7 linked regions of the Cricetulus griseus genome follow. The protein of the gene in region 1 interacts with the protein of each later gene in a pairwise test. Links are inferred from orthologs where the notes say so. Each region holds a gene or a part of one and is shown in the gene's direction. Other genes may lie near its edges.

Region 1 (4,252 bases):
GTAATTGATCTTGCAGGTCCAGTCTTTTTGTTATTAAGGGGAGTGTCCAGCTCGTTTTATCAGGCCTATTAGTAGCTAGCCATACAGCACCATCAATGAGTTACAAACTGGCCACCACCCTGTTAATTGCATCTTTCCTCTGAAATAACCACTCCTGACTATAGTTTCATTTACCCATTTCTGAAACATAAGGTTAGCACTACCAACTGAGCTACATGGCCAGCCTATAGCTTCATTATTTTGATTGCTACTGATTGTGGACTATGCCACATTTATTCATTGAACTGTTGATGGACATTTGTTTTATTTTCACCAACCTTTTCAGAATGATGGGACCTGGATGTGATGGTGCAGGTCTTTAACTGGGAGGCACTGGTGGATCATTTTTGAATTCAAGGCTAGCCTGATCTATATGACAAGTTCCAGATCATCCGGTTAGAATGTCATCTTTTTTTCTTAAAGGATTTATTTGTTATGTATATAATGTTCTGTCTGCATGTATGACTACATGCCAGAAGAGAGCACCGGTTCTCATTATAGATGGCTGTGAACCACCATGTGGTTGCTGGGAATTTGAACTCAGGACCTCTGGAAAAGCAGCCAATGCTCTTAACCTCTGAGCCATCTCATTACAGCAGCTCGCAATTTTCAGCACAGCGCCGGACACGGCACGACGGTAACAACATTCTTAAGTGCTTCTGCCTCTGAGAAGGAATGCACGTTTGTCCTTGTTCTCCATCAGAAGACGACCACCTGGAATCTGGGTTTGTGCAAATTACACCTCCGAAGCCGCCCCCCCCTTTTTAAAAAAAAAATTACGTGTTACTAGGAACTAGAGCTTTCCCACGTTTCCTTTAGGCTTCCGAATCCAACAGGCCATGTTTACCAAGCTGCAGCAGAAAGCGACGGGCAAATTAACCACAACGACCACTACAGCCCGGACTTCTCGAGTGTGGCTCCCAAACAAACGCCCTTTCTTCCGGCCCAAGCGCGGCGGACCCACCCACTTCCGCACTGGTGACCACGCCCCAGAGCCTCGCCTGGCCTCAGCCAATGGTCGGCTTCCTTGGGAACGTTACCTTCGGCTAATCAGAGACAACGAGCGAACTCCTCGCGAGAGGTGAGGTTGAAGCTGCCTCCGCCATCTTGAAGATGGGAGACGGGCGAAAGCTGTGGTCTTTCTGCTAAAGCAAACAACACAACGGACAGAGTTGTCACCCCCACAGTGAGGTAATCGCCACTGTGTAACTGCTGACCAAAGCCACCGAAAGCAGCGAGCGTGTCAAAGCCGCCCGAGCGCAGCGACACTGAGACCTCCCCCCCTTCACCTGCCTCCCGGGCAGAGGGGAAGTGTGGAGGGCCGGAAGGATGGTGCAGTCCTGTTCCGCCTACGGCTGCAAGAACCGATACGATAAGGACAAGCCTGTCTCTTTCCACAAGTAGGTAACCGGCATGCTCGGCGGTGGGCCGGCCGGCCGGCCGACTGGCCGGGGCGAGGGGCCCGCGGCCGGGTGGAGGCGGAGCCCGGCGCGTGTCCGCGCGAGACCTGGGAAGGCGGGGGGCCGGGGCCGGGGGCGGGGACCCGTGGCTGCGCGTCGCCCCCGTGGGCTCCGCTCGGCTCGGCTCGGCTCTGCTGAGGCTCCGAGCGCGCCTTCTCTGCTCTGCTGGGTTTCCGGCGTGCGAGTGACGCCTACAGGTCCCTCGCAGCCCTCACAATCTCGTCCCAAGGGATCATCAACGTGATAGAGAAACACTTAGGAGTTAGACAGTTTTCCGACCTTGCTGTAGTTGGGAGAAGGGATAACACAACCGGCCGGCATGTCAGGGAGGACTTGTAGACCCAGTTTCAAGGAACCAACCTTTAAGGGTCTTTGGGTTTCAGAGGAAGTTCTTGGTACTGCCAAGATGAACCCCAGCCTTTCATCACACAGTAATAGCAACGTGGACGATAACACGCTTTATTCAGTAGCAAAGGATCTAATTCCAGCCCTTGCCATCGATGTCTTGGCTGGCTCATGTGGTAGGTACCACAAACAAGAATCCTGGGGTGAAAAATACTTTCTTGAAAGAAGAAAACTGCAGAATTAACGTTACTAATGATAATTATTAACAGTGATAATGGTCCACAAAATGTGATGTTTTTAAGCAGCCAAATTCATTATTATATTTTACATTAGGTTTTTGAAAGAATTCCTGGCTGTATGCAAACGATAGCTAAGAGATCAGATTCACTGGTAAATTATACAAGTTATCCATAGCAAAACAATTACAGAAGCAAATTTCAAAATGTTCTTTCAGGGTTTTGTTTGTTTTGGTTTGTAACAAAAGAATGTTTGGTAGAAAGTGAGATAAGTGTGCTGATGTTTTCTGTCTGGGAAGAGGATAGAATATTTCCTAATACTACTACTTGATTGATTGGAATTTCTGAAATTTCATACATCTTCATCCTGTAGGAATAAATAGATCAGGAAATAGTGGGGGGATATACATTCAACTTGCCACCACCCTTCCCTATGCTTAAATTAGGGTGGCAAGTGGGGGAATGTTAAAATAAGTTTAAGATGACACACATCAAAAATACTATTTCAGCTGCTGGATGTTGAAAAATAAAAGGACTAACACGAATCTTATCCATTATTTAAAAGAACAATAAATGGCAAAAATCTTGACAGACCTCGAAGAATTTGGGCTCCTAGGCTGGGAGACTAGATACTAAGATTTCTAACAACTCCCCACTGGTATGTACTTCTTTCTAGAAATACGTCGTTTTCCAGCTTGTATCTACTGGTAGTGCAGAAAGCTTGCTGTGCAAAGAATAAGCACTAGCATGAAGATTGCTTAGGTCTTCATGAAAAAAAAAAAAAAAAAAAAAAAAAAAAGCATGATCGGGTCTGGTGCACCTTATGGGGTGGAATAATTATGAAGCATAAATTGAACATTCTTGGTCTTTTTCCAGTTCCAGTGTACCACCAAGTCTTTGACATGGAAAAGCATAGTGACAATAGATGTAAAGGGTCCTCATTACCTAGGCTGGGTTAAGTGATAAAATAAAAGATGTCCTTTATTTCTTAATCATTTGCCTATAATTCAGGCAGTCAGGATTTAGTCTATTTATATTTATTGGGCTGATTCAGGAAGAGCTAGAAGTCTATCTCAGGATACAGCCATATGTAGGATTTGTGTTTTACTGCAAAACACAAAAGTGCTAGTAAAAATGTGAGTAGAATTGCATTGCACACTGTCTGTTTTACTTGCATTGTCAGTGTCTTCGTTATGAAAAGATGAGCATTAATCAGTGAGATAGTAACAGGATCCAGTTTTCAGTCAGATTCTCTTGGCTGGGTGGTTTTGTTTATTTTTTTTTTCTTAGTAAAGTCAGAGAACTGAATTTTGTCTTCTTAGGTTTCCTCTGACTCGCCCCGGTCTTTGTAAACAGTGGGAGGCAGCTGTTAGAAGAAAAAACTTCAAGCCTACTAAATACAGCAGTATTTGTTCAGAGCACTTTACCCCAGACTGCTTTAAGAGAGAGTGCAACAACAAATTACTGAAGGAGAATGCTGTACCCACAATATTTCTTTGTATTGAGCCACATGACAAGGTACTTCGGGTTTTAAATATTGGGTTATTGTTTTTCTTTCCCTTTCTTATCCTCGTTTTCTTTTCTCCTCTCCATTCTCCTCCCCTCACGTCCCTTGTGTGAGGTAGGGGCTTACCTAGTCCAGGCTGCTTGAGCTTTATACAGCTGGGTCGGAATTGGAACTCCCCATCTTCCTTCCTCTGCCTTCCAAATTCTAGGATCTTGAGCACTGATTTTGGGCTGTACACTAATAACCATAAAATCTATGAAACTAATGTGTTCATGGTGGAAATTTTGGAAAAATCAGGAAAGGGTTAAGAAAACACATGTATTTGAAACATATCATTTTACAACAACCACTATTGGGACTCAGTGGTCAAGAGTGTGTCTTACTCTTCTAGAGGACCCTAGTTTAATTCCCAGCACCCACATCAAGTGGCTCACAATTTCTGGAACTCCAGCTCCAGGGGATCACATGTCTCTGGCCTCTTCTTGCAGCTCCACCTCCACCCCACAGCAAACACACACACACACACACACACACACACACACACACACACACACACACACACACACACACACACACACACGATTATAAAGAAAAAAAAACCACTAAGTAACAATAATATACTTTTAAAAAATTTAGAATTCTATGAATTTTAATATCTCACACTT
Region 2 (4,261 bases), on another chromosome or scaffold:
TTGCAGGAAAATAAAAAAAAAAAAAGAATCAAAAGACAAGATAGCCAAGTGTAGGAAGGTCTATTCCTTTTTGTTTCTTCAGCATATCAGCTTCCTTCTCTATTTCTGCAGACAAGCTCCCTTGCATTATTTATTATTCTCTATCTTTGTGTTGTTAATCCCACCATTCGAGAATAAGACCACTATTAGAGTTGTAAAAAAAAAAAGGCCAAAATAGCCATTTAAAAACCATGTTCTTTCCCTGGCCCTTTAATTCTATAGCCTGAGCTGACATTGAACTCCTAGAGATCTGCTATCCTCTGCCCAAGTGCTAGGATTAAAGGCTTGTGCCACCAGGGCATAATTTTGTTTGTTTTTGTAAGGAAAAAGGCCCAGCCAAACAAACACATCCTGAGCAGAGCCAAAGAAATACACTTTGGCCCTGCAACCAGAACCAAAGAAATGTACCCTGACCCTGAAACCAGTGCCAAAGAAACACACTTTGTCCCTGGAATCAGAACCAGTGAAAGAAATATACTCTGGCCCTAAAATTGGAGCCCAAAGGCTAAAAAGGACCAGTGAAAGAAACACACTTTGGCCCTGAAACCAGAGGCAAATCTGACCCTAAACCTTCGAGAAAACTAACCAATCCCTGAGCAGGAGATCTACCCATTATAAACCCAGGCATTGAAATCTGACCAATCTCCACCCTGGAAAAACTCTGCCCCTAAGAAGCCCTATATAAACCCTGTGCCTAGCCCGGCGTTGGTGGCACACGCCTTTAATCCCAGCACTGGGGGATATTTTGAGATAGGATTTCTTTGTGTAATAGCCCTGGCTGTCCTGAAACTCACTCTGTACACCAGGCTGGCCTTGAACGCGAGATCTGCCTGCTTCTGCCTCTGGAGTACTGGGATTAAAGGTGTGAGCCACTACTGCCCTGCTTTAATTTTTTTTTTTTCTGAGATAGGTTCGTATATAAGCTAGCCTCAACATTTTACAACTCACTGAGACCAGCCTGACTTTGCCTTCTGAGTGCTGAAATTAAAAGAGTGGTCAGCCAAGCCGGAATTTTGTTTTGAATCAGGGTCTTAACTGTTTTCAAGATTGGCCTTGAACACATAGCAACCCTCTTCCCTCGGTCTCGAGAACGCTGGGATTACAGGTTTTCTGAACGCTAATTTCACCCTTCAAGGTCCTAATCATATTCATACTAAACACAAGGCCCACATTTGACATAACACACCAGCGGGGGGCCACCAATCACCTCTGTTGGGATAAACCGGTCTGGCTCCGCCCACGGCCGTGGAGGTTTGAAGGCCCCGCCCCATCCTTCGGAGTTTCCCAAAAGCCTGTGCGGCAGGCTCGGCAGCTCCAAGATGGCGACTCCCATGCATCGGCTGATAGCTCGGAGACAAGCGTAAGTGAGACGACGCCCAGTGGGGTCTGCGAGAGGGCTGTGGGTGTGGAGACGCCAGTCCGCTAGTTAGTGAGCTGGCGCGGGCTGCGGGACTGAGCGGGCTCGGAGAGTCCGAAATGAATCCAAGGGTTGTTGGTTGTGTGGTTTATGATCCTCTGTCCGTCTCACACGTTTGTCAAGGTAGCCTGGATGCCTGATTCCCACACCTTCACTCCCGAGGACCCAAACTTCTCCCACTTATTCCTTTGCAGCATTTCCGGTCTCCTTCCTACCGCCTTTCCTAGAAACAAGCCTGTCTACAATGCCTTTACTCTTTTCCCATCTACCGACTCACTTTCTGCGACTCTCTCCTTCAGTAAATAGTTCTTTTAGTACCTACCACTCCATGCCTTTTTTTTTTTCAGTGAAGAAAAATGTTCGGGACACGCAGCTTATAGTCTAAATGTGGAACCAGTTAATCCTCTGAACAAGTACAGTTGGTAGTTTTAAAAATCTTTGTAGGAAATAAGAGGCTGTGATGGGAATACGGGAAAGGCTTCTTCAAATTAGTTGGACTGGAAATACATTAGTGGAGGGGTGACATTTCAAGACAGGCTGAAAGGCGTAGGAAAGACCGAGTCACCAGAGGGCTTGGGAAAAGAAACGCTAGACAATGGTATAATTGCTTTGAGGCGGTGAGAACTTTTTTTTTCTGTCAAAGCTAGCTAGCTGTTTAAGAATTAATAAATTTACACCTTTATTTAATCTCTCTCAATCTGGTAAGAATTTTGTTTAGGAAACTTGATGGCCTATAACAGGCGAACGCTTCCTTTAATTTCTTTTGCTCCCATTCTTTATTTTTGATTGGTGTTTCGAGACAGGGTCTTTTCACATAGCCCTGTCTGTTCTGAAATTTGCTTTGTGGCCAGGCTGTACTCTAACTCCGAGATCCACCTGCCTCTGCCTCCCACGCGCTGGGATTAAAGGTTTGAGCCACCATCCCTGGCCATAGCCCAGGACTTTAATCCCAGCACTTAGCCCAAGGTTAGCCTGATCTACATATCTAGTTCCAGGACATTCAGAGCTGCATACTGAGACCATGGCTCAATAAACAAATAAAATTTAAAAAACCTTAATTTTAACAGTGCTAAATTAAGTTACTAGGATCTCATTTCACCCCTTTTCTCTCTTAAACTGGTTCTTTTGGATCCAGACTTAGGCTACTTAAGTGACAAGATGGCTTGTTTTGTTTTGTCTTGTTTTTCGACACAGGGTTTCTTTGTAACAACCCTAGCTATCCTGGAATTCACTTTTGTAGAGCAGGCTGGCTTGGAACTCAGAAATCTACCTGTTTCTGTCTCCTGAGTACTGAGATTAAAGGCATGTGCCACCAAACTTGGCAAGACCTCATCTTAAAACAAAACCTCCCAGCAATGTTATGTTCACCCTCTGTATGGCCATGTGATAGTGGCATGTTGGATTTAAAGTTATGTGAAACTGAAAGGAAAATACTGTTTATGGATCTATTACCTGCTTGCTTTTAACTTTCTTGCTTTTGATGTAAGCTGTGATTTATTAGTCATAAACCTGAGTATTGGGCCAGATGTGTTAGATCATGCCTTTATTCCTAGCACTCAGAAGGCAGAAACAAGTGGATCTCTGAGTTTAAGGCTAGCCTGGTCTACAGAGTTTCAAGACAACTGGGGCTATTAACATATAGAAACCCTATTGTGTGACCGGGCGTTGGTGGAGCACCCCTTTAATCACAGCACTTGGGAGGCAGACGCAGGCGGATCTCTGTGAGTTCGAGGCCAGCCTGGTCTCCAGAGTGAGTGCCAGGATAGGCTGCAAAGCTACACAGAGAAACCCTGTCTCGAAAAACAAAAAAAAGAAAAAAAGAAAAGAAACCCTGTTCTGTGTGTTGGGGGTGGGGGGCGGTTTAAGTGTGTGTGTATAGGAATTGAGGCCAGAGGAACTTGTTGGGGTCAGTTCTCTGCTCCTTCCACCATACAGATCCAGGGATCCAACTCAGATCTTCAGGCATATAGGAAGCACCCTTACCCACCCAGCCATCTCCCATCCTTAAAAGTGTTTTAATGGGTTAGTGGTCTACCTTGGTGGTAGTATTTGCTCCGTGTGCATGTAGGAGGCCCTGAGTTTAATATCTATCTAGCACTACAAAGAATAAAGTAAAATAAAAGTCTGTAATTATCCTTTGCATTCTGAACTAAAAATGTTGCTCTGAGTGCATCATTACTGGAAAGCAAAAACAATATTTGTTTTTATGTGTTTGTTTTGCTTTGAGACAGGATCTCTCGATCTGTAGCTCAGGCTACAGCCATTCTCCTGCTTTAGCCTGAAAAGTGAAGGATTACAAGCATGAAACACCACACTGGGCTTAAAGAAGCCAAGATTTGTTCTGTTAATCCCAGGTTGCATGCATTGATCCACATAACTATTTCTGTGTCTGTTAGAGTAAACATCACTATATGCCTTTATAGGTCAGAAAGTATTACAAGACAAAGCTACTTTTTTGTTATTGTTTTTTGTTTGTTTGTTTTTTAAGACAGGATTTTGCTGTGGCTTTGGAGGCTGTCCTGGAACTAGCTCTTTAGACCAGGCTGATCTTGAACTCACAGAGATCCACTTGCCTCTGCCTCCCGAGTACTGGGATTAAAGGCATGTGCCACCAACGCCCAGAGAAGACAAAACTTCTAAGACTTATATTCTGTTTATTCTTTGTAGTGAAGCCAATAAGCAACATGTAAGATGTCAGAAATGCTTGGAATTTGGACATTGGACTTATGAGTGCAAAGGAAAAAGAAAGTACCTCCACAGGCCTTCAAGAACAGCAGAGCTGAAGAAAGCTTTAAAAGAAAAAGA
Region 3 (4,533 bases), on another chromosome or scaffold:
TGGGAGGAGAAGGGGTAACCAAAATGGCTGGATTAGACAGAGAAGAGCCTCTGGGGATAGGGCAGCCCAGCCCCCTGGGCTGGAGATTTCCGGTAGCGGGTGGGGGGGTGCCAGCCATACCCTGTAACAGGCAGGGACTGAAGGATGCTGGGAGAACCTGGCGGTCAGGTCTGCTTTGATATGTTAAATAAACCTCAAACATGTGTGCCAAGGTTTGAGCTTAACACATTGCAAACGTCGTTTCTTCGTACAACACCAATTTAAAAAAAATAAAAAGGCCAGGTGGCGGTGGTGCACGCCTTCAATCCTAGAGGCAGATGGATCTCCGAGTTCGAGGGCAGCCTGGTCTACGAGGGAGTTCCAGGACAAGCCAGAGCTACACAGTAAGACCCTGTCTCGAAAAACCCCAAACAAACAAAAACCCCACCAACTAAAAGAGCAGGTAGCAGCCAGGCGGTGGTAGCGCACACCTTTAGTCCCAGCACTCGGGAGGCAGAGGCAGGCGGATCTCTGTGAGTTCGAGACCAGCCTGGTCTACAGAGTGAGTTCTAGGACAGGCTCCAAAGCCACAGAGGAACCCTGTCTCGAAAAACCCAAAAAGGAAAAATAAAAAAAATAAAAAAATAAAAAAAGAGCAGGTAGCAAGTGATTTTAGGGTGTCCGGAGCAAGGCAGCCAGAGCCGCGCCCCACCCCCTCCAGGAGCGCACAGGAAACCTGAAACCTTCTTTCCCAACATCTTGCCCGCAGCGCGGGGAGGGGCGGGACGTTAAGGCTCAGGGCTCGGAGGAGGCCGTTTGCAGCTGAGACCACCTCTTTAGAAGCGAGGACCGGATGGGGGAACCCGGAGAGCCTTCGCTGCTTCTCGGGGCTGCTCGCCCATTTCCGGCGCAGCGGAAAGCCCTGCGCTGCTTGGGCCTGCAGCCCAGTAGGCGCGGCCGTGGAGCTGCAGGCTCGCCCGGCTCCTGCGGAGGGCCTAAGAACCGATTTTGCCGACTCTGTAGTTTGTCTCCTCTTTAGACAAATTCAAACTAGGTTGGTTTTGAACTTTCCTGCCTCCGTTCCCTAGTGCCGGGATCTTTCAACGTTTTGCGTTTATTTTAGTGTAGGGGGTAGGGTTGCACGCATTCCAGCGCACACATGTTGAAGTCAGAGGACAGCTTGGACGAGCCTGGTCTGGCGTTCCACCTTGTGGGGGTTATGGGATTCGAACTCCAGTCATCTGGCTCGGTGGCAAGCGCTTATCACTGTGTGTACATGCACGGCTATTTTCCGCAGCATCCTAGCTGGGAGCTTTGCAAATGGCAATTTCTGTAAATGGATCCTGGAAATACTAAATAGACTCATGTCTGGTCTTGTCCTGAGCAGACCATGCGGAGGAAACCCCATCGGAAACCCAGCCCCTGCAGACACCTCCGACCACACACCCCTAGGCCCAGGGAGTCAGAAACGGGGTCCCGAAAGTCGGGGAGCTCCTACACGCTAAACCACTAGGCCTCGCGCGACCTCAGCCGCTGGGCGACTACCGTGACGCACCGGCCACTTCCGATTTCACTTTCCTTTTCTCGGGCCCGGCCGCTTCACCTCCACGGCGGCGGCCTGGGGATTTGCCCGGTGATCAGTGACGTCAGGCAGACTGAAGTTCCCATTGGAGGGCGGAGTTCGGCATGGACCAATCCCAGGGCCGGCCCCGGAGAAATCTCGGCGGAGGGCACTGCGCGCCGGGAGACTGCTGGGCGGGGAGGCTTCGCTGCCAGCTTGCTGGCCCGGGCGCTGCACCCTGAGCAGCTTGACGGGGAGGAGTGACCGGGCCCCGAGAGTGGCGCGGGTGAGTGCGGCCTGCCGTGGTAGGACACCGTGGCTCCGCCGCGCGGCCCGGGTGGGGACGGCGAAGGTGGCCGTGGGCCCAAGGCAACGCTGCTGGACAGGCCCTGGCGCGCGGGGATGGCGAGCTCGGGTACCCGCCGCGTCCCCGGCTCGCTTGTGGGCCTGTCGCCCTGAGCTCGCTGTGCTCATGGCTCCTCAGGTCCAGCCCAGACTTACTCCAGTCTCTTCCAGTCCCCAGATCCAGAAGTGAGCGGGACCCGGATGAAGTCCTACCTGCTGGCTTGGAGTCCTGCATGACCAAAGGCAGGTCTCCACCTATTTATTTTATTATTTATTATCTATATCTATCTATCTATCTATCTATCTATCTATCTATCTATCTATCTGTCATCTGTCTATGGATTATTTACTATGTCAGAGTTAAACTAGCTTAGCCACTTGTACCTGGAGCTGTGTATTATTCCCTGATGATTTACTAACTAATTTGCTTTAGGGGGAAAAAAAAAGGTGTGTAAACAGTATGGTGATGGTATGCGCCTTTAATCCAGCACTGGTGAGGCCGAGGCAGAGGAAGATGGATCTCTGAGTTCAAGGCCAGCCTGGTCGACAGAGTGAGTTCCAGGATAGCCAGGCTACAAAGAGAAACCCTGTCTCGAGACCAAAAAACAAAAAGAAAGAAAGAAAAAAGAAAAAAAGAAAGAAAAGAAAAAGAATAAAAAGGTGTATGAATTTAACTTTGTGGAGTGAATGGGAGGAGACACTTAAAAATTTCTAGTACATTCCAGAGTTTGACAATGCAACCATTTGTGTATGCCTCAAAAAAAAGGGAAGAATGACATGTGTTCATGCATGCCTGAACCTCTTGTTTGTTAGATGAAGTCATGTCCCTAGAGTATTCCTCCTAAGTTCAAAACAAAACAAAACAAAACACCTTTTCTAAAAGCAAGCCTTCATTAATGTTTTTTTAAATTGCAACTTATTTATTAATTATTATTATCACTATTATCATTATTATTAAGACAGGGTTTTACCATGTATCCAAAGATGGTCTGAAAGTGGCCATGATCACCCATGTTAGCCTTCTTCCTCTTGAACATTTGGTTTAAAAGTTACAGGTGTCTGCTACAATGCCTGGTTACCATTTTTAATACACTTTAATTTTTAGAACAGTTGTAGATTCACAGAAACATTGAGAAAACAATCTGTAGAGTCCCTATGTAACCTCAAACCAACTCCTCTTTCATTAACATCTTACACATGATTATCGGCCAGAGTCCACATATGTTTATTTTCAATTCCTTTTTACGAAAATACCCTTCCATGTTCTCATCTGGGTTACTGCATTGCATTTGGTTGGCTGTGACAGTTTTTAGACTTTGTGTGAACTTTCAAAGTTTTGAGAGATACTGTGTAATGGATACCTCAGATAATTAATTAAAGAGAAGGGGTTTATTTTGGCTAACAGCTTTGGAGATTCCAGTCCACAATCCTGTGGTGCTTGTTGGTCTGGGCCTGGTCTCGAATTGAGCTCATATTCATACCTCTGCTTCCTGAGGACTGAGAATACAATCATGGGCTACCATGCCTGCTCATTATACACAGAGAGAGAGAGAGAGGAGAGAAGGGGGGAGGAGACCAGAGTCCCACAGTCCTCTTCTGTGATGCTCTCTTCAGTGCCCTAGATTTTCCAGTAGTACCAGTGCAAGGAACAAGCCTTTCTCTTGTGGACCTTTGAGGCATACTACGATGTAAACTGTACGTGTGTTTGTGTGGTACCCTCCTATTTTATGTCTTATTCTTAAGATTGGGTTTATGTATTAAAGGGATGGGGTTAGGTTGCCATACCCACAGCACCTTAGCAAGGATTCCATGTTGTCAAGATTTACGATGACACTGACCTGCCCACCTGGCTGAGTGTGTGTTGGTTCTCTGCACTGTGTTTTCCTTCCTTTGCACATTGAATCATTTGGCAGGAAGTCACTCTGCTCATCTAAAGAATTAGAGGGTTATGGATTTTAAATTATTCAGTATGGGAAATGTGTCCCCTTCGTTAATGCATTCACCCATTTGATTATATCAATGTAGACTTGTAGGTATTGATTTTAGACATTGGATTATAGTCCAGTAGCAGTTTGTTGTTCAAATTGGTGCAGCTTTGACTATTGGAAGCTGATTGCCTCTGTGTCCTTCCTCTTTTAATGGTACTTTTGGGGCATTCAGACATTTTTTTTATGTCACCTTTTAAACTTGAAACAAGCTGGTAAGCTTGACCAAATAATTTCTGTTGTTGTAGTTTTTTTCTTGCTGGATTCTGAAGCTGTCTCAGCCTCAAATAAGCACACAGATGCTATATTAATGATAAAACTGTTGGTAGATGGCTAGGGCTTCTTATTGGCTAGCTCTGTCTTAATTATTAGCCCATATCTATAAATCTATGTATTTCCACGTGGTCTTGGCTTACCAGAGAACGCCTGGTGCATCCTGTCTTCCTGGTCTCTACATGGCGTGTCTTTGTACACTCTCTCTGCCTTTCCTAGAATTCTCCTCATCTCCTAGCCTGCCTTTCATCCTGCCTCTACTGGTCAAACAGTGTTTTATTCATCAACCAGTAAAAGAAACATATATACAGAAGGACATCCCCCTTCAAATTTCCTCTCATCAAGAGACAAGGAAACCGGGTGCTGACGTGGCTCATAGCCATCTAACAC
Region 4 (3,751 bases), on another chromosome or scaffold:
AGATCTGCCCAAGTGTTGGCCTTAAAGGCTCGTGCCACTATGGCTGGCTGGCTGTCTTCTGTCTGTCCTTCCTTCCTTTCATGAACAGGGTGAGGGGACTTTAGAGCTTCCTGGAGAGTGACCCTAGTTCTTCACCCTTGTCCCCTCTGTCTCCATAGGCGCACACTGGCTGACATCATCATGGAGAAGCTGACAGAGAAGCAGACAGAGGTGGAGACGGTCATGTCAGAGGTGTCGGGCTTCCCTATGCCTCAACTGGACCCCCGGGTCCTGGAGGTCTACAGAGGAGTCCGGGAGGTAAGGACTGTGAGGGCATGTGTGGTGGGGTATCCTAACAGGAAGCCTCTCACACATGGCACCCGACGAGTGAGCCATGGTGGCCAGGACAGAAAAGGACTGAGGCAGAACCAGTGGGCTCAGGGTCTAGTCACTAAATTCTGGTCACCTGAGAAATGAGCCTTTTTGGGTTGCTCTGAAGATAAGTGAGGCCGCGCATGAAAACGCAGGGACGGGGCCAGGACCTCAACCGTGGGTGCTGATGGCTCTGCCTCCTCCATCTCCAGGTGTTATCCAAGTACCGAAGTGGGAAACTGCCCAAGGCTTTTAAGATCATCCCTGCACTGTCCAACTGGGAGCAAATCCTCTATGTCACTGAGCCTGAGGCCTGGACTGCAGCTGCTATGTATCAAGCCACCAGGTAGTGTAGATGGTCTAGGGCGGCTGATCTGTGGTGCAGGGTGTGGTGAGTAGACTCTGCCTCCCTCAGCCATGTCATTGGCCAGCCCATGGCTCTCTCCCTTGGACTTGTTCCTACTACTCCCTTAACTTCTCCTCCTGTGTTTTCAGGACAAAGTCCTGTGGTAGACTTCCATGGGAAGGGCCTACATAGCTTCCAGGATACAGCCCTGGTGTGAGAGAAGAGTAGCTCGAGAATTCTGAGAATTCTCCGGTGACCTCAGGTCCCTCATGGTGGAGAAAGGAGAGTAGCCAGCCAAAAACTGGACTGGGAAAGAAGCTCGAGGTGCCTCGCTTAAATAATGCACAAAAGGCCATGGGGCTAAGCAACAGCACTGTCTGAAATACACTAGGGGCCAGGCAATGGTGGTGCACACTTTGAATCCCAGTACTCAGGAGGCAGAGGCAGGTGGATTTCTGTGAGTTCTAGGCCAGCCTGCTCTGCACAGTGAGTTCCAGTAGAGTCAGGACTACACACAGAGAAACCCTATCTCGAAAAACCAACAAAAGAAAAATGCTAGGTCTGGAGAGGTGGCTCAGTGGTTAAGAGCACTTGTTCTTCTAGAAGACCTGGGTTCAATTCCCAGCACCCACGTGGAGGCTTTCAACCATCTCTAGCTCTAGGAAATCCGATGGGTACCAGGAACATATATGGTGCACAGACCTACTTGCAGGCAAAGTAGCTCCTCTTTAAGCTGACCTGGGTGTGGTGTGCATACTGTTATTCTTTTGTTTAAATTAGAAATGAAGAAGAGGCACAAGATGAGACATGAGACTAAGATGTATTACCCAGTTTATTATAAGCCCGGTAGAGTAGAGACTAAGAAAGAAGAGGAACGGGGTTAATGGCTGACCGCCATGACCGGTTGCCATAGAGAGGCAGAGAGAGCAGAAGAGAAGAGAAGAGAGTGTAAGTGGGCAGGGTCTGTCTTTTAAAGGGTTCCTCTATACCACCTGCGTGCAGACTTAGTTCCCATGGAACCCTGGGCTTACCAGGGTACTGCCTGAGTGGATTCTGCCAGGTGACAGAGGCAGGCCAGCATAATGCCTGAACCTTTCACATACCACTTCACATACCCCTCTCTGAAGTGATGTCCCCATATCTTACTCTAAAACCTCTCTCATGCATGGTGATACTTAAAAGGCCAGGGCCAGACTCTTGTGACTTGCAAACTCCCACCTTGCTAGGATTTTTGCCTCTAATCTGAGAGAACGGATGGCTCAGCGCTTCTACAACCTTGTCCTGCTTCCCCGAGTACGAGATGACATCGCAGAGTACAAACGACTCAACTTTCACCTCTACATGGCACTCAAGAAAGCCCTCTTCAAACCTGGAGCCTGGTTCAAAGGTAAAAACCCAGAATTAGGAGAGAAAGGAAGGGTCAGTACTCTGCTTGGCAACTGGCTATCTCCACTGTTGGTCCTTAGATGATGGGGTTGCTGGGTACTAAAAGTCCCTGTATATGACTCTGCCTAGGAATCCTGATCCCATTGTGCGAGTCTGGCACATGTACCCTCCGAGAAGCCATCATCGTGGGCAGCATCATCACCAAGTGCTCCATCCCTGTGTTGCACTCCAGGTAGTGTTGGTGAGGTCGGTGGAGAGTCATGTAGTAGAGAGGCCAGAACTTTGGCAGGAGGGCAAGAAGGGAGAATGAGCTATGATTACCTAGAGTCTGTGGCTATTTAAACCAGCAGGTATATGATTTCCTCCAGTAGAATAGAAGCCTTCGAGGGCAGGATCCAAAGACCTGGCACACAGTAGGTGTTCAGTAAATAGTTGTTGAATGACGGCATGAATGAATGGATACCTAGAAAAAGGTGTGAAAAATGGTGGAGTGGTGAGACATTTAGACACACCCTATCGAGTTGAATGCAGGGATTGTTTGCTATCCCGGCCAGAGGCAGAAGTGTGAGATGGATGTAGACAGGCGGTAAAGAGAATCAATCCCAGGAGTGTACTAATGAGGAGATGCGGGGACACCTTGGGAATGCTCTAGGTTAGGGTGAGTCTGGGGAGACACTTTGTCCAGAATCTCTCCACTAGTCCTTAACTCCAGCTTCCCTCCTAGTGCGGCCATGCTGAAGATTGCCGAGATGGAATACAGTGGCGCTAACAGCATTTTCCTGCGCCTGCTGTTAGATAAGAAGTATGCGTTGCCATACCGGGTGCTAGACGCCCTGGTCTTCCATTTTCTGGGCTTCCGGACGGAGAAGCGCCAGCTGCCTGTGCTCTGGCACCAGTGCCTCCTGACATTGGCACAACGCTACAAGGCCGACTTGGCCACGGACCAGAAGGAGGCCCTCCTGGAACTGCTTCGACTGCAGCCCCACCCACAGTTGTCTCCGGAAATCAGACGTGAGCTCCAGAGTGCAGTCCCCAGAGATGTAGAAGATGTTCCTGTCACCATGGAATGACAGCGCTCACCTGTCTTGGTCCAGGGAGGATAGGAGGACACCAGGAGCCCAGTTGGTGACCAACGATCTAGTTAAAGACCTAGGTTAAGGCACCGAAGGCTTACGACAGCATCTGTGTGTGGCTCTAGTCCTGGGCAGGAGGATTGATCTGGTTGGCTTTCTCTGCCATTCTAGGCTTTGGTCCCTGTTCACTTCTGGAAGCTAACTGGAGTTACCTGATGTCAGCACTCCCTCAACCCAGCCGGTACTTGGTATTAGGGCTGCTCTCTCCAGTTACTGTGTCAGTTCACTGGGGTGTGGATAAAACAGAGTTGGTTATTTATTGAAGCTCTGTGTTTTGGTTCAGTCCCTGGAGGTTCCTGCCTCCCCTGTGGCTAGAGGTGAGAGTCATTCATGGTTCTTTCTGTTCCCAGTTCAGAGGAGTGGCTTCTTAGTGTCCATAGAACCCTCACCCTGTTCCTCACAACGGTCTATCTAGACTCCCCTTCCTCTCCACAAAGAGAGTGTGTGTATTGCACGCATGCAGGCAATACACACACTCCCTACCAAAGACATGTTCATGGGCTATTTTGGGGGAACACCAGCTTCTGCTGGTGTT
Region 5 (3,751 bases), on another chromosome or scaffold:
TTCCAAAAAGTTTTTCTGCTTCTTTATACTCTAGGAAGTGTTACATATACATCTAAACAACTAACAACTATATACATGTTGAAACAGTATTTGAGGGCTGGAGAGATGGCTCAGAGGTTGAGAGCACTGACTGCTCTTCCAAGGGTTCTGAGTTCAATTCCTGGCAACCACATGGTGGCTCACAACCATCCGTTATGAGATATGGTGTCCTCTTCTGGTGTGCAGATATACATGGAAGCAGAATGTTGTATACATAATAAATAAATAAAATCTTTAAAAAGAAAAAGAAACAGTATTTGGTATTAGTTTTATATTTCACTTATGTGTCAATTAAAAAATAAACAGAGCTGGAGTTTATTGCTCAAGTTGGCAAAGTGCTTGTGGAGGACTTGAGATTGTTCCCCAGAACAATATGGGAGAAACACCTCGGGTGCAATGGCATGCTTGTAATTCCAGCGCTGGGGAGGAGGAAGATAGCTAAGCTCAGGCCAGGAGAGACTCTGTCTCAAAAAATGTGGACAGTGCCTGAAGAATGACACCTGAGATAGTCTTCTGGCTTCTACTCATGCACACACTTATGAGTGCCCACACACGTGTACCTGCGCACACACACTTATACAAAACTAAATTTAGAATAGAAAAATATCCCAAGCCCAACAAACAGTATTTATAACGGCTTTTTAAAAGCCTTTTAAGTCAGCAGAGAATAGCTAGGTAATAGATGATACTTCTAAGATGTACTCCTATTAAAAAAAAAATAGTTGCTGTTGGATTTTAAGATTGATACAACCTTAAGATTGCTTGGTATGGTTAGAGAAAAATTTAGCTTGGTAACAGCTTAAATTGTATATATTTGCTTCTGTGGTTTGATGACACTCTTTTTCTTATCTTTTTAGGAAACCAGCATAAGCAGTCTAGGAACCGAGAGGATAAGCCATATCATCAGTGACCCCCGGCAGAAAGAGTAAGTACCTAAGTGCCTACTGCTGTCCTAGCCTGGTCCTTGGAGAAGGAGGTAGAGAGGGTTTCTATAAAGCAATCTTTCTATTAGACTTGAGAACCGAAAGAGGGCATTTTAGAGATTGGTGCTTGCTAACAGTTAAGATGGGTAAAATCAGGCTGGCAAGATGGCTCATGGCTAAAAGTGCTTGCCACCTGTTGTTGCATGTTTGATGACCAGAGTTTAATCCCAGAGCCAGAAGGAAAGAACCAACTCCATAGAGTTGTCCTCTGACCCTCACAAGTATGCTATGACATACACAATAATAAAAAAGTAAAATTTTAAGATGGCTAAAGTCTTAAATCATGACAGTGATTTTTCTTTTTCTTTCTAGAGTAGTTTTTTGTTGTTGTTGTTGCCTGTTATGTTTCTAGGTGTTATATTAATATCCACCACTAAGAGACTATATTTTAAATGCATTTTTCTCTCTTAATTTTTTTAAAATGGTTGTTCCAAATGCTTCTGTTCTCCTTCAGGCCTCTTTAAGGAGAAATCTTTTTGTCCCTGTTACCATGGTGAATGCAGTAGGAATCATGAATGGAGCTGCCTTTCTCATAACAGCTTCATTTCCTAAACAGTTGGCTTTGCTGTGTGCTTTGTCTTCTTATGGGTCTTCCATGGCTAAAATTTGAATATCTGCTGAATAAATACATATATATTGGGACTAGGGAGATGGTTCAGTGGATCAAGCATAAGGATTAGAGTTTGGATCCCCAGCACCCACATAAAGAAGCAGGTGGTATGGTAGGCCTGCCTGTAATATCAGCCCTTGACAAGTAGATCCCAGGGCAAGCTGACCAGCAGGGAGCTCTAGGTTCAGTGAGAGACCTTGCCTCAATAAATGAAGTGGAGAGTGAGCTTGGAAGACATCACAATGACCTCTGACCTCCACACACGTGTGTACCTGTGACCTTACATTCCTCCATTCACACACATACATGCATACATATCAACTATGTATGTTAAAAAAAAAAAAGCAGCCCACATTTGTATATGCTAAAGAAATTGTATAGTTTATTCCTTAATCATTATGGTCAGTACCCAAGAGCAGTCCTATACATAAACCTAGTCTGATTTTGGAGTTTGAGTCCTTTTCTCGATGCACAGCTGAGATAAGGCTGTGTCTTAGTTGGCTCTTCCTTGTCTAGTTTTCTGCTTTCCACTTTTGCCTTCTCCACTGCAGTTACTTCAGGGAGACTGTTGTTCACACACAGCTGGCGTCCTTCTCCTTCAGCTGCATCGCTCCCAGTTCCTTCTTTGTCTTCACTCAGTATCCCACCTGTGATCGTCTTCCCTCTTACTTTTCCTATCACTTCTTTTATTGTTTTCTTTCCTGTTATTCTCTCTTCAGTTTCTGCTTACCATCAGCTGGGAAAAGAGAACGAAAGCAGGTAAGATAATTTTGGGGGGTCATCTTTTATCATTCAGTTTCCTTTTCTTTAGAAAGAATAAAACATTGGCTTCTGATTTTCCTCACATTTTTGCTTGTGCACATGAGGTGACTAAGATCACTCTCCATCACTCTTGACTTTTTTGAGAGCTGAGTTCCAAGACTGCTCTGTGCTCATCTGAAAGAACTGTAGCCAATTCCCTCCTTAGGTTCAGCTGCAGTTGTCAGCTTCTTATTTGTAACACATTTCAAGGGAAGCCTGGTTTTATTTTAGCTTTTCCCCCCTAAGGTTTATTTTTACTTATGTGTCCATGTACATAGGTGCATGTGAGCTCAGATGCCTGCAGAGGCCATAGGGTATCATATGTGCTGGAGCTGGGGATACAGACATTTGGGAGCTGCCTGACATGCTGATGAGAACTGAACTTGAGTCGTCTGGAAGAGCAGTATTTGCTCTTAACCATTGAACCCATTGTCTTATTGTTTCAATTGATTAAAAATGTAAAGTGAGTCTCATGTCTCTGGGTTAGTTTGCCATTCGAATCCTGTGCTGTGACTGTCTGAGCATAGGAGGCAGAAGGCTGAGCTCCTTTTGGGGAAATGATCAAGACTTTGGAGCTTTTTTCTCTTAATCTTTTCCTTGACTCCCCTTTAGGGATGCCTTAATACATTTTGGCTTTGAGGAGGATCCATGATTTAAAAGTAACTCACAGTGGTTGTTGTTAGGTTTATAGATGTTTGAAATTCTTTCAGTTTAGAGGTAAGGGTTGCCTAACCTTAGTTCTGAGCTGTGAAGTTCATAGAGACTGATGGGCAAACCTTCTCAGGCTTCCTTTTGCTCCATGGTTGACTGGTTGTTTATTTTGGGGACTACTTAGCATTTTATTATGTTACACAGTTTATATTTGCAAAGTTCACTGGGAAGTTGCTGTTTCACAATAATTAGAACAGTGGAAGATAAAACCAGTGTGTGTTTATGAGATGATTTTAGATTACGTATTTGAAGTTATATATTATAATGTATGTTAGAAAAATGTAATTACTATGTCAGACTTACCTGGTGGAAATAGGACAAAACTGAGTGTAAGTAATTGGTGTAAAGAAAATTCTGGATGAACAGTTCATATAGTTGGCAGATAAAGAAAGGGTCATGAAGGTCGCATGCGAGAGATTTGGGAACTGTTAAGCTAGAGTGTGGATTGTATTTGCTTCAGAGCATGCAAAGGCAGGATTTATGGCCATCTTTTGCGCTACTTCTGCTATGTACAAGTGAGGAACAACGCATCATGGGTTTTAACTATTTTCCTGAAGTTGCTGAGCTATGTGTATTAGCTAAGTTTCTGTTCTTTTAAGTACGTTTG
Region 6 (4,228 bases), on another chromosome or scaffold:
GAATTTCTTCAGAGGCTTCCTTTGCTTCCATCTTTGCCTCAGGAATTTCTTCAGAGGCTTCCTTTGCTTCCATCTTTGGCTCAGGAATTTCTTCAGAGGCTTCCTGTGCCTCCATCTTCACCTCAGGAATTTCTTCAGAGGCTTCCTTTGCTTCAACCTTCACCTCAGGAATTTCTTCAGAGGCTTCCTTTGCTTCAACCTTCACCTCAGGAATTTCTGCAGAGGCTTCCTTTGCTTCAACTTTTTCTTCAGGAACCTCTTTTGGAATTTCTTTTTCTTCAGTTTTCACCTCAGGACTTTCTTTGGGAGCTTCACCTTCAAGTTTTGCGTCAGGAACTTCATTTGGAACATTCTTTCCTTCTTCCTTTACTCCAGCCTCTTCTTTACGGGCTTCTTCTTCCTCCTCACCCTCTAAGGGCGGCATTTCATCAGGTGTGTCATTCTGCATTTCCTCATCACCGCTGAACTCCTCCTCCGAGTTCCATTCACATTCTTCCTCCGTAGGCTCATATTCTGCATTTATGATCTGAAAACGCTTATCATAGAGAGGCTTATTCAGCTCCGCATATTTCCTTTCAAGGTCATGAATTGCCCTTAAGAACAAGGTGTCCACCTTGTCGCACTCATCCTGAATATTTCTGAGTGCCTGCACCCGATTTCTCACTGCCTGCGGTAGCTTATCCAGGAAAAACCTCCCGGCGGGATGCCGCGGGCCCCTTCTGACAGGCTGAGGCACCCTCTTCCTTCGGTACACTCGACTGCCACCGCTGCTGCTGCCACTGCTACTGCTGCTGCTGCTGCTACTGCTGCTGCTGCTGCTGCTGCTACTGCTGCTGCTGCTGCTGCTGCTGCTGCTGCTGCTGCTGCGACTAGAGGTGCTGCTAGAGCTATTGCTGTCAGATTCTTCCCCGGAATCACTAGCTGAGCTAGCCATGACCTCTTCAGCAACCCCTTGGGCGGCAGGTTCTGTGACCATTTTAGGATCGGCGTCTGCCATGCCGCAAGCCCCCGCACACCTCTTTTCTGCAAGTGGTGACAACAGAGATCGCGCCCCCGGGGACCGGCAGCAAATGACTCACGGATGCTCTGAAGGCGGCTGCGAAGGCCCGGGCTGCACAGGCGGCGGCGGCGGTGGCGGCGGTGGTGGTCGGTGGTGGCGGCGGCGGTGGCGGCAGGGACTGTCAGCAGCAGGGACTGCAGTGGCTACTGCGGCGGAGGTGCGGCAGGGGCGGGGCCAGGGAGGGCGCGCAGGAAGCCGCGGCAGCGGAAACAGGCCGGGGCCTAGGCGACCAGGCCTGGTCGGGGGCCTTGTCTCGGCCTAGACAGGCAGAGGCCGAGCCGTGCCGCAGTCGAATGGCGCAGTTCGGGACTCTGATCGGCGATTGGGGTCTGGCTGAGGATGGTGAGCCCCTCCCCTTGATGACGCCCCTCGCGTCAATTTCGTTCCCAGAGTGCCTCTAGTTCACGCCTCATTTGCTGGCCAGCCCCGATTGACGGGCGTTCCAGCCAAGGAACGGTCGGAAGTAGCGGCTCCCCCTCTTGGCTCCTCCTCCCTTCCCAGATGCTCCTTGGTGGCTGAGGCACCAACCCCCCCTCCATCCCCCGAAAGACAGGTTCCCTCCCCCTCCCAAAATTCTCTCCTTATGTGGTTTTTTAATTCACAGGGAGAGAAAAAAAAATGCGTAGCCATGAGGTAAAAACGCCAGCTATAGTTCCTAGCAATGGAACAGAGGATCCCTTTAGCTCAGCTGCCCATCCTGAATCCCCCATTTGGCTGAATTCCACACCACAAACTGTTAACCGGGGGTGGGGGGTGAAAACGCTCTGAGTGGCGTCATTGGATAGTGTGACTGGATGATTGAAGGGGGGGGCACTCAAACAAACATGATTTTCTCTAAATATTCCATGAGCATGTATTTTCACACTGGAAAAGGGGGAGTCGTTTATTGGCAAAGGGGGGAGGGGCTAGACAGCAGGCATATTGCATTCCACGTAGCAGATTTAATAAGTCCTGTCTGTGATGTTTGGCAAGCCTGGTTTATAGCCATCTACAAGGTTTGCGAACCCATGTTGCCGTGAGTCAGTTACACCATTTTTTCAGTCGTATTTCTGTTTTAAATTTGGCATATAATGTAATGTACTCTAATCTTATTGCTAATTTGCCACGTAGTCCTTTTCAATGCTTGTAGCAAAATTTTAGACAAAACGAAGCGGTTTTCAAATGTAAGGTAATATTTTTTTAAAGCAGAGGATTTGTTTCGCACTTTCATGCAGCAGGTTTCAATTCCACTAACAGCGGGATGGGAGGGGGGATTTGTTCTAAGGCAAGTGCAGCATCCGTAAGTGTTTAAGATGTCATCTGCCACCAATTTCCTTTTAATTTGAAATTGTATCCATATTAAATGCTGATTTATAAGCCCAGTAATATGTAAACAAACTTTAGCTAAATGAAGTTTAAAAACAGATATTTGCTATTTTTATTTACAGGATTCAGTTCTGCTACAACCAAAAAGACCAGTGTTTACTTTTCATTGAAAGGTAAGGACATACTTACTAGCCGTCCCCCCCCCTTTTTTTATGAATGACCAGAATTGCTCATCTGTACTTAAATAAAAATTCACAGGCTATAATCTGTTAAAGATTTGATTGGAAAATATCGTGATATTTGCAGACAAGCAGAAAAATCCATAGAGGTGACTTGGCATACAAATGAGAAAATAACCCACTTTACCACATTCACTGTCTAAACTTGGTCATAGACTATTAGTGCTATGTTAAAATATAAAATATACTCCATTATTAATTTCAAATGAAGAAATGTATTAAAAGGAGACTAGCCTTTGTATAGTACTTGATTTTATTATAGAGTTTGTGCTTTTTATTCAGTCATACAGTTTTAAGTTAAGAAATGCATTGTGATTTTGAAAATGAATTTGTATTTATGTGTAAATATTAAATTTTGTGTACATTTTAAAGATTAACTTCAATATAAAAGATTATGATGATAGTCAATGTTTAATTTTGACAACCAAATGATAACTAGTTTTTACATTTGGATGCATTTCCTTCCAGAAGTTTCCTTATGCTTGTATACATCTGCTTCTGTTTTATCTGTGTGACATCATATGATGGTTTATAATTTACTGATTTATGGTTGTTTTCATGGGAAATAATCAATTCCTTTTTTAAATAGTTCTCTATTCTGTTATAATAATTGCCTTGGCATATTTAACCAGAGTCTTGCTATGGGAAGATATACATACATTTACATATACATATATACTATAACTGGCCTACTAATGCACTTCAAAACATAGGATATTTTCCTAGAAATTAGAGCATGAACTAAGCCTTATGGTATTTTGTAATTCTGTACCTATTACAAATGTCCATGAAGGTTCTTATAATTTAAAATGTAGAAAAGTCCATCTATTCCAACATTCAACCAATAATGCCTGTGTCTTTTATGTGACAGGCACATTAGTGATGGATGACAATATAATGCTAAGTAGAACATGCTTACCTTTGCCTTATTGTTTTGTAATTTTAATCAAAACACATGCAATGGGCTGCATGATAAATACTGCAATGCCACTTATCTATAGCTACAGTAATAGAAATATTTTAGTGATACTTATATTTTATAGTAATTTAATAGTGTAATTTACATGTTAACTTCTGTATCATCAGAGATTACTATTTTTGAATCAGTTTTGAGTTAAGTTCTAGATTTGCTTGTTTACTTTCTTGAAGTGGGTGTGGAATCAAGGAATCACACATGTAAGGGAGCTTTATCACTGAGCTATACCTATAACCATAGAGATTTTAAATTGTTATTTTAGTAGCTACCTATTTCTTTGTGAAACATTTAGTTTGTAATCTCTCCATCTGTACCCACTGAATCCCCTTATTTACCATGTAAGCAGAATTGATTGGATCTATTTCTACATTCTGGTTTGTTTGTTTGTTTTTTGATTTATTGAACACAGATTTTCCTGCAAATAAGGGAATGGAGCTAATTTTTGTTGATGTTTTTAGAGACAGTCACACTATGAGTCCCAGGGTTGCCTCCATACTTTCTGTGTATCCCAGATTTGCTTCAATATTAAGAGACTCTTCTTTTATTTTTTTTTTTTTTTGAGACAGGTTTCACTGTAGGTTTTGGATACTGTCCTGAAACTGTCTTTGAAGACCAGGCTGGCCTCAAACTCACAGAGATCCCCTGCCT
Region 7 (3,751 bases), on another chromosome or scaffold:
ATGTTTGTGATCTTGAATTAAGCTTAATATAAATAAATGCTCCATAGACTGATGCTAATCTCTTATTCTTCACCGTGTGGAAGTGAAAATGTTGTATAGTAGCACAACTTGTTCAGAAATAGCAACTTATAGTTATTACCATTCTTTCAGTAGTTGAATATATGTATCTGGTGTTGCAGTTCAGGGTGGTTTCGTTTTTATTTTTATTTTTGAAACAGGCTCTTTGTATATCAGGCTGGCCTCGAACTTACAGCGGTTCACCTGCCTCTGCCTCCCAAATGCTGGGAGTAAAGGAGGGTGCCAGGCGTGTGTGCCACCACTCCCATCCATGTTGCTTCTTTTGGACATGCTACCCATGGAAGAGTTTAGTTGAAAACCAGGTTGTTCTTCCTTAGCAATTCTCTGGGGTAACACATACCCCTTTTCCTTTGAGAGGACACAAATCAGTTGTCAGAAGGAACTGATGGAGAACAGATGGGCTGGGAGTGTAGCTTTGTGGGAGAATACTTGCCTAGCATGTGCCGGGCACAGAGCTTGATTGTGTGCAAGCAAACATGTTATATAGTAGCACTGCTACTATGTGGGGGCTGAGGGAGGGGTAGGCAAAATAGATGCTTATACAGGACCCTTGGGAGGGTTTTCTCCCCCCTGAAATGGGCAGGCAGAAAGGCTGAGTGGGATATGTCAGTAACTGCTTTCTGTCATCTTTCTTTCTTGTGTTTTTGTGTATCACAGGCCTGAGATCCTGAAGCAGGAAATCAAAGTCTTCTTTGTAAAGTACAATGACCCTATCTATGTTAAACTGGAGAAGCTGGACATCATGATCCGTCTTGCATCCCAAGCCAACATCGCTCAGGTCCGACCCTCAGCCATCCCAAATTTATACCGGCTTAGCACTTAAGAGCTGGCATTCAGAAGGCATGAAATTGCTGTTTGAGACTTTTTAAAGATTATCCACTTCTTGGTTATTTGACAGGTCCTGGCAGAGTTGAAGGAATACGCCACCGAGGTTGACGTGGACTTTGTTCGCAAAGCTGTGAGGGCCATTGGACGGTGTGCCATCAAAGTGGAGGTAAGTCTCCAGAGGAGCTGAGATCACAGTATGGGATTCTGATTGCTCATTACTTTAGAATATGTTTTGGAGTTCATCAAAATAATACATATATTTAATGAACTAAATAATTTAATGTTTATGGGTGTTTTGTCTGCATTATGTCTGTGTACCCCCTGTAAGCTAAGTACCTCTGTAAGCCAGAAGAAGGTGTCGGACCCCCTGGAACTAGAGTTACAGACTGTTGGTCATGAGCCAACATGTGGGTGCTGGGAATCTAATCCAGGTTTTCTGGAAGAGTAGCCATTTTTGCTCTTAACCCTGAGTCTTCTCTGCCCCAGATTAAAGAATTTTTAATGAAAAGCCACTGTCCCTGGCTGTCCCCCTTCTCTACCTAGACCCACTTCCCCAAAAGTATCACTTTTTACTCTTCTTTAAATCTTTTTCTATGTCCATATTTATAAATAATTTTATTATTTATTGATTTGTTAGTTACAGATTTTTGTCTTCTCAACACATCTCACTCCTCCACCAAGCATTTTGGGGGGCTTGTTTGTTTTACTTTTTCAGACAGGGTCTTACTGTTAGCCCAGGCTAGCCCCAAACTCACATCCCCTCTCCCGCAATCTCCCAAATGTAGGATTCCAGACATGAACCACTATGCCTGGTTTTAGTTTTGTGTTCTTTCGGTAATATGTGTTCTTAGGTGTTGTATTTTGTTTTGGTTTTTAACTTATTTTGATACTACCTATTTGTTTTTATTATTTTATTTTATTTGTTTTGGTTTTTTGAGACATGGTTTCTCTGTATTGCTTTGGAGCCTGTCCTGGAACTCACTCTGTAGATCAGGCTGGGTTTGAACTCACAGAGATCTGCCTGCCTCTGCCTCCCAAGTGCTGGGATTAAAGGCGTGTGTCACCAATGCCTGGCTCCTATTTATTTTTACATTTATATATTTATTATTTGAGGGGACAGTATGTGCCAGGGTATATATATGGAAGTCAGAGGACTTACAGGAGTTGGTTCCTTCTTTCTGCCATAAGGCTTCTGGGGATCAAACTCAGGTCAGCAGTGCCTTTATCCATCTTGCTGGCCCTAATACCACATATTGATTGCTTATTAGACTTACAGACTTTCCCAGAGACTGGACTGTATCTTAATGGTTCTACTCATACCTCCATCCCCTTTAGATGACTAAATCTGGAGGCTTGGTGATATTCATGAGTTTTAGGTGATTTTATCCTTTTAGTGACCTGTGATAGTACATTGTGATAAATCATAGATTTACCTTGGATTTGGGTATTTTACTTACAATCCTGTCCTTAAAAAATTTTTATGGAAGTATAAATAAATTGATCAGTTTGGAGCCGGGCATTGGTGGCGCACGCCTTTAATCCCAGCACTCGGGAGGCAGAGGCAGGTGGGTCTCTGTGAGTTCGAGACAAGCCTGGTCTACAACAGCTAGTTCCAGGACAGCCTCCAAAGTCACAGAGAAACCCTGTCTCGAAAAACAAAAAACAAAAAAACAAAACAACAACAACAAAAAATTGATCAGTTTGTATTTCATCTTCAACTAGTAAAAGAGTAATAGGTTAAACTCTAGGATATTTTGAGCCATAGATAACTGAAAAGAAAATGAAAGCTATGGACCTTATATTTGTAAAATATTTTGAAAGTCCATATAAAATTTGGTGATTCCTTTTAGGAGGTTTAAAAACAGGAGGTCAGAGAGATGGCACAGTGGTTAAGAGTGTTTGCTGATCTGTCATGAGAGCCAGAGTTCAGATTCCATGACCCACCTCAGGCAGCTCACAGGCTCCTGTAACTCCAGCTTCCAGGGCTCTTCATGAGCACCTAGCATGTGTGCTCAGGCCTGGGGGACAGGGGGCGATCCTGCCCTGTTGCTGCCATCTAAGGTAGCTTTATAACTAAAGGTAGCTTTAACTAAATCTCTATGGTTCTAATAAAACTCAAAGGCTAAGGGTGAAAACCTGTGAGCTCAGAGAGTTAGAGTAGCAACTGCTAACTTTCTCTTTGCTGGTGTCCCCAGAAGCCTCCCTTCTTCCACACCACTTGCACTAAAAAAAACCCACGCCGTGCTCCTCCCTGTTACTTCCAGTAAACTTGTTGCTAACCTCACCTCCCTGAGCCCAGGTTAATTTTATTTAATTAATGTATCTTTACATAGTTAAACAAATACAGCATTAACAGATGTAATACATCTTTGCCTGGCTAAACAAATATTCCACAACACACAAACACACGGGGGTGTGGGGGGTGGGGAAGTGGGGAGGGGCTAAAGAAAGACCACGGAAGAAATCTTTTTAAAAATACCAACAACACCCCATGCAATCTCTGTTCACCTAAGGACCTCCCACTTAGATGTATTTTTTAATTGCCTTTCTCTCTTCATACCCTGGCTAATTTTTTTCTTATTTCTGTTCTTCGAATTATCCAGGTTAATGTTTACTCATTTAACTTAATTATCTGGGAGACAGAGATACAGCTCAGTGGTAGAGCTCTTGACTAGCTTGTGTGAGGCCCTTAGTTTGCTCTAAGCAACACACACAAAACCAAATCCAGAACATTTTTCAATTTGTTTTCTAATGAATAAAAGCTGGTATATTCCTAGGCTTTCTAATGTTGATATACAACAGATGATCTAGCCTCTAGTATAGCTTTAGCAAATTCAGTGCTTGT

Evidence for each region.
Region 2: the proteins of Thap1 (region 1) and Zcchc10 interact in binary tests that used the Homo sapiens proteins (3 or more experiments, as listed by UniProt). The two-hybrid records come from large-scale screens. The link is inferred for Cricetulus griseus from reciprocal best matches to the Homo sapiens genes THAP1 and ZCCHC10.
Region 3: the proteins of Thap1 (region 1) and Trim26 interact in binary tests that used the Homo sapiens proteins (3 or more experiments, as listed by UniProt). The two-hybrid records come from large-scale screens. The link is inferred for Cricetulus griseus from reciprocal best matches to the Homo sapiens genes THAP1 and TRIM26.
Region 4: the proteins of Thap1 (region 1) and bystin interact in binary tests that used the Homo sapiens proteins (3 or more experiments, as listed by UniProt). The two-hybrid records come from large-scale screens. The link is inferred for Cricetulus griseus from reciprocal best matches to the Homo sapiens genes THAP1 and BYSL.
Region 5: the proteins of Thap1 (region 1) and Gpatch2l interact in binary tests that used the Homo sapiens proteins (3 or more experiments, as listed by UniProt). The two-hybrid records come from large-scale screens. The link is inferred for Cricetulus griseus from reciprocal best matches to the Homo sapiens genes THAP1 and GPATCH2L.
Region 6: the proteins of Thap1 (region 1) and Fam133a interact in binary tests that used the Homo sapiens proteins (3 or more experiments, as listed by UniProt). The two-hybrid records come from large-scale screens. The link is inferred for Cricetulus griseus from reciprocal best matches to the Homo sapiens genes THAP1 and FAM133A.
Region 7: the proteins of Thap1 (region 1) and Ap2b1 interact in binary tests that used the Homo sapiens proteins (3 or more experiments, as listed by UniProt). The two-hybrid records come from large-scale screens. The link is inferred for Cricetulus griseus from reciprocal best matches to the Homo sapiens genes THAP1 and AP2B1.

What each region holds. Positions count from the first base shown.
Region 1 is NW_023276807.1:57,657,540-57,661,791, reverse strand, and holds the start of Thap1 (THAP domain-containing protein 1), read left to right. Parts: upstream 1-1,301; 5' UTR 1,302-1,368; coding exon 1,369-1,439; intron 1,440-1,618; exon of another isoform or gene 1,619-2,015; coding exon of another isoform or gene 2,016-2,020; intron 2,021-3,402; coding exon 3,403-3,598; intron 3,599-4,252. UniProt on the Homo sapiens protein: DNA-binding transcription regulator that regulates endothelial cell proliferation and G1/S cell-cycle progression.
Region 2 is NC_048600.1:67,476,783-67,481,043, forward strand, and holds the start of Zcchc10 (zinc finger CCHC domain-containing protein 10), read left to right. Parts: upstream 1-1,242; 5' UTR 1,243-1,358; coding exon 1,359-1,399; intron 1,400-4,123; coding exon 4,124-4,261.
Region 3 is NW_023276806.1:228,910,026-228,914,558, reverse strand, and holds the start of Trim26 (tripartite motif-containing protein 26), read left to right. Parts: upstream 1-1,668; 5' UTR 1,669-1,826; intron 1,827-2,056; 5' UTR 2,057-2,132; intron 2,133-4,352; exon of another isoform or gene 4,353-4,533.
Region 4 is NW_023276806.1:255,587,610-255,591,360, forward strand, and holds the end of bystin, read left to right. Parts: intron 1-158; coding exon 159-297; intron 298-563; coding exon 564-697; intron 698-1,923; coding exon 1,924-2,084; intron 2,085-2,212; coding exon 2,213-2,315; intron 2,316-2,807; coding exon 2,808-3,153; 3' UTR 3,154-3,480; downstream 3,481-3,751. UniProt on the Homo sapiens protein: Required for processing of 20S pre-rRNA precursor and biogenesis of 40S ribosomal subunits. May be required for trophinin-dependent regulation of cell adhesion during implantation of human embryos.
Region 5 is NC_048598.1:117,541,184-117,544,934, reverse strand, and holds part of Gpatch2l (G patch domain-containing protein 2-like), read left to right. Parts: intron 1-896; coding exon 897-964; intron 965-2,351; coding exon 2,352-2,391; intron 2,392-3,751.
Region 6 is NC_048604.1:52,767,138-52,771,365, reverse strand, and holds the start of Fam133a (protein FAM133A), read left to right. Parts: upstream 1-1,283; 5' UTR 1,284-1,402; intron 1,403-1,601; exon of another isoform or gene 1,602-1,693; intron 1,694-1,938; exon of another isoform or gene 1,939-2,075; intron 2,076-2,101; exon of another isoform or gene 2,102-2,228; intron 2,229-2,487; 5' UTR 2,488-2,538; intron 2,539-4,146; exon of another isoform or gene 4,147-4,228. Other genes in the region: Nap1l3 (nucleosome assembly protein 1-like 3), read right to left, coding at 1-997.
Region 7 is NC_048600.1:96,571,542-96,575,292, forward strand, and holds part of Ap2b1 (AP-2 complex subunit beta), read left to right. Parts: intron 1-735; coding exon 736-856; intron 857-976; coding exon 977-1,072; intron 1,073-3,751. UniProt on the Homo sapiens protein: Component of the adaptor protein complex 2 (AP-2). Adaptor protein complexes function in protein transport via transport vesicles in different membrane traffic pathways.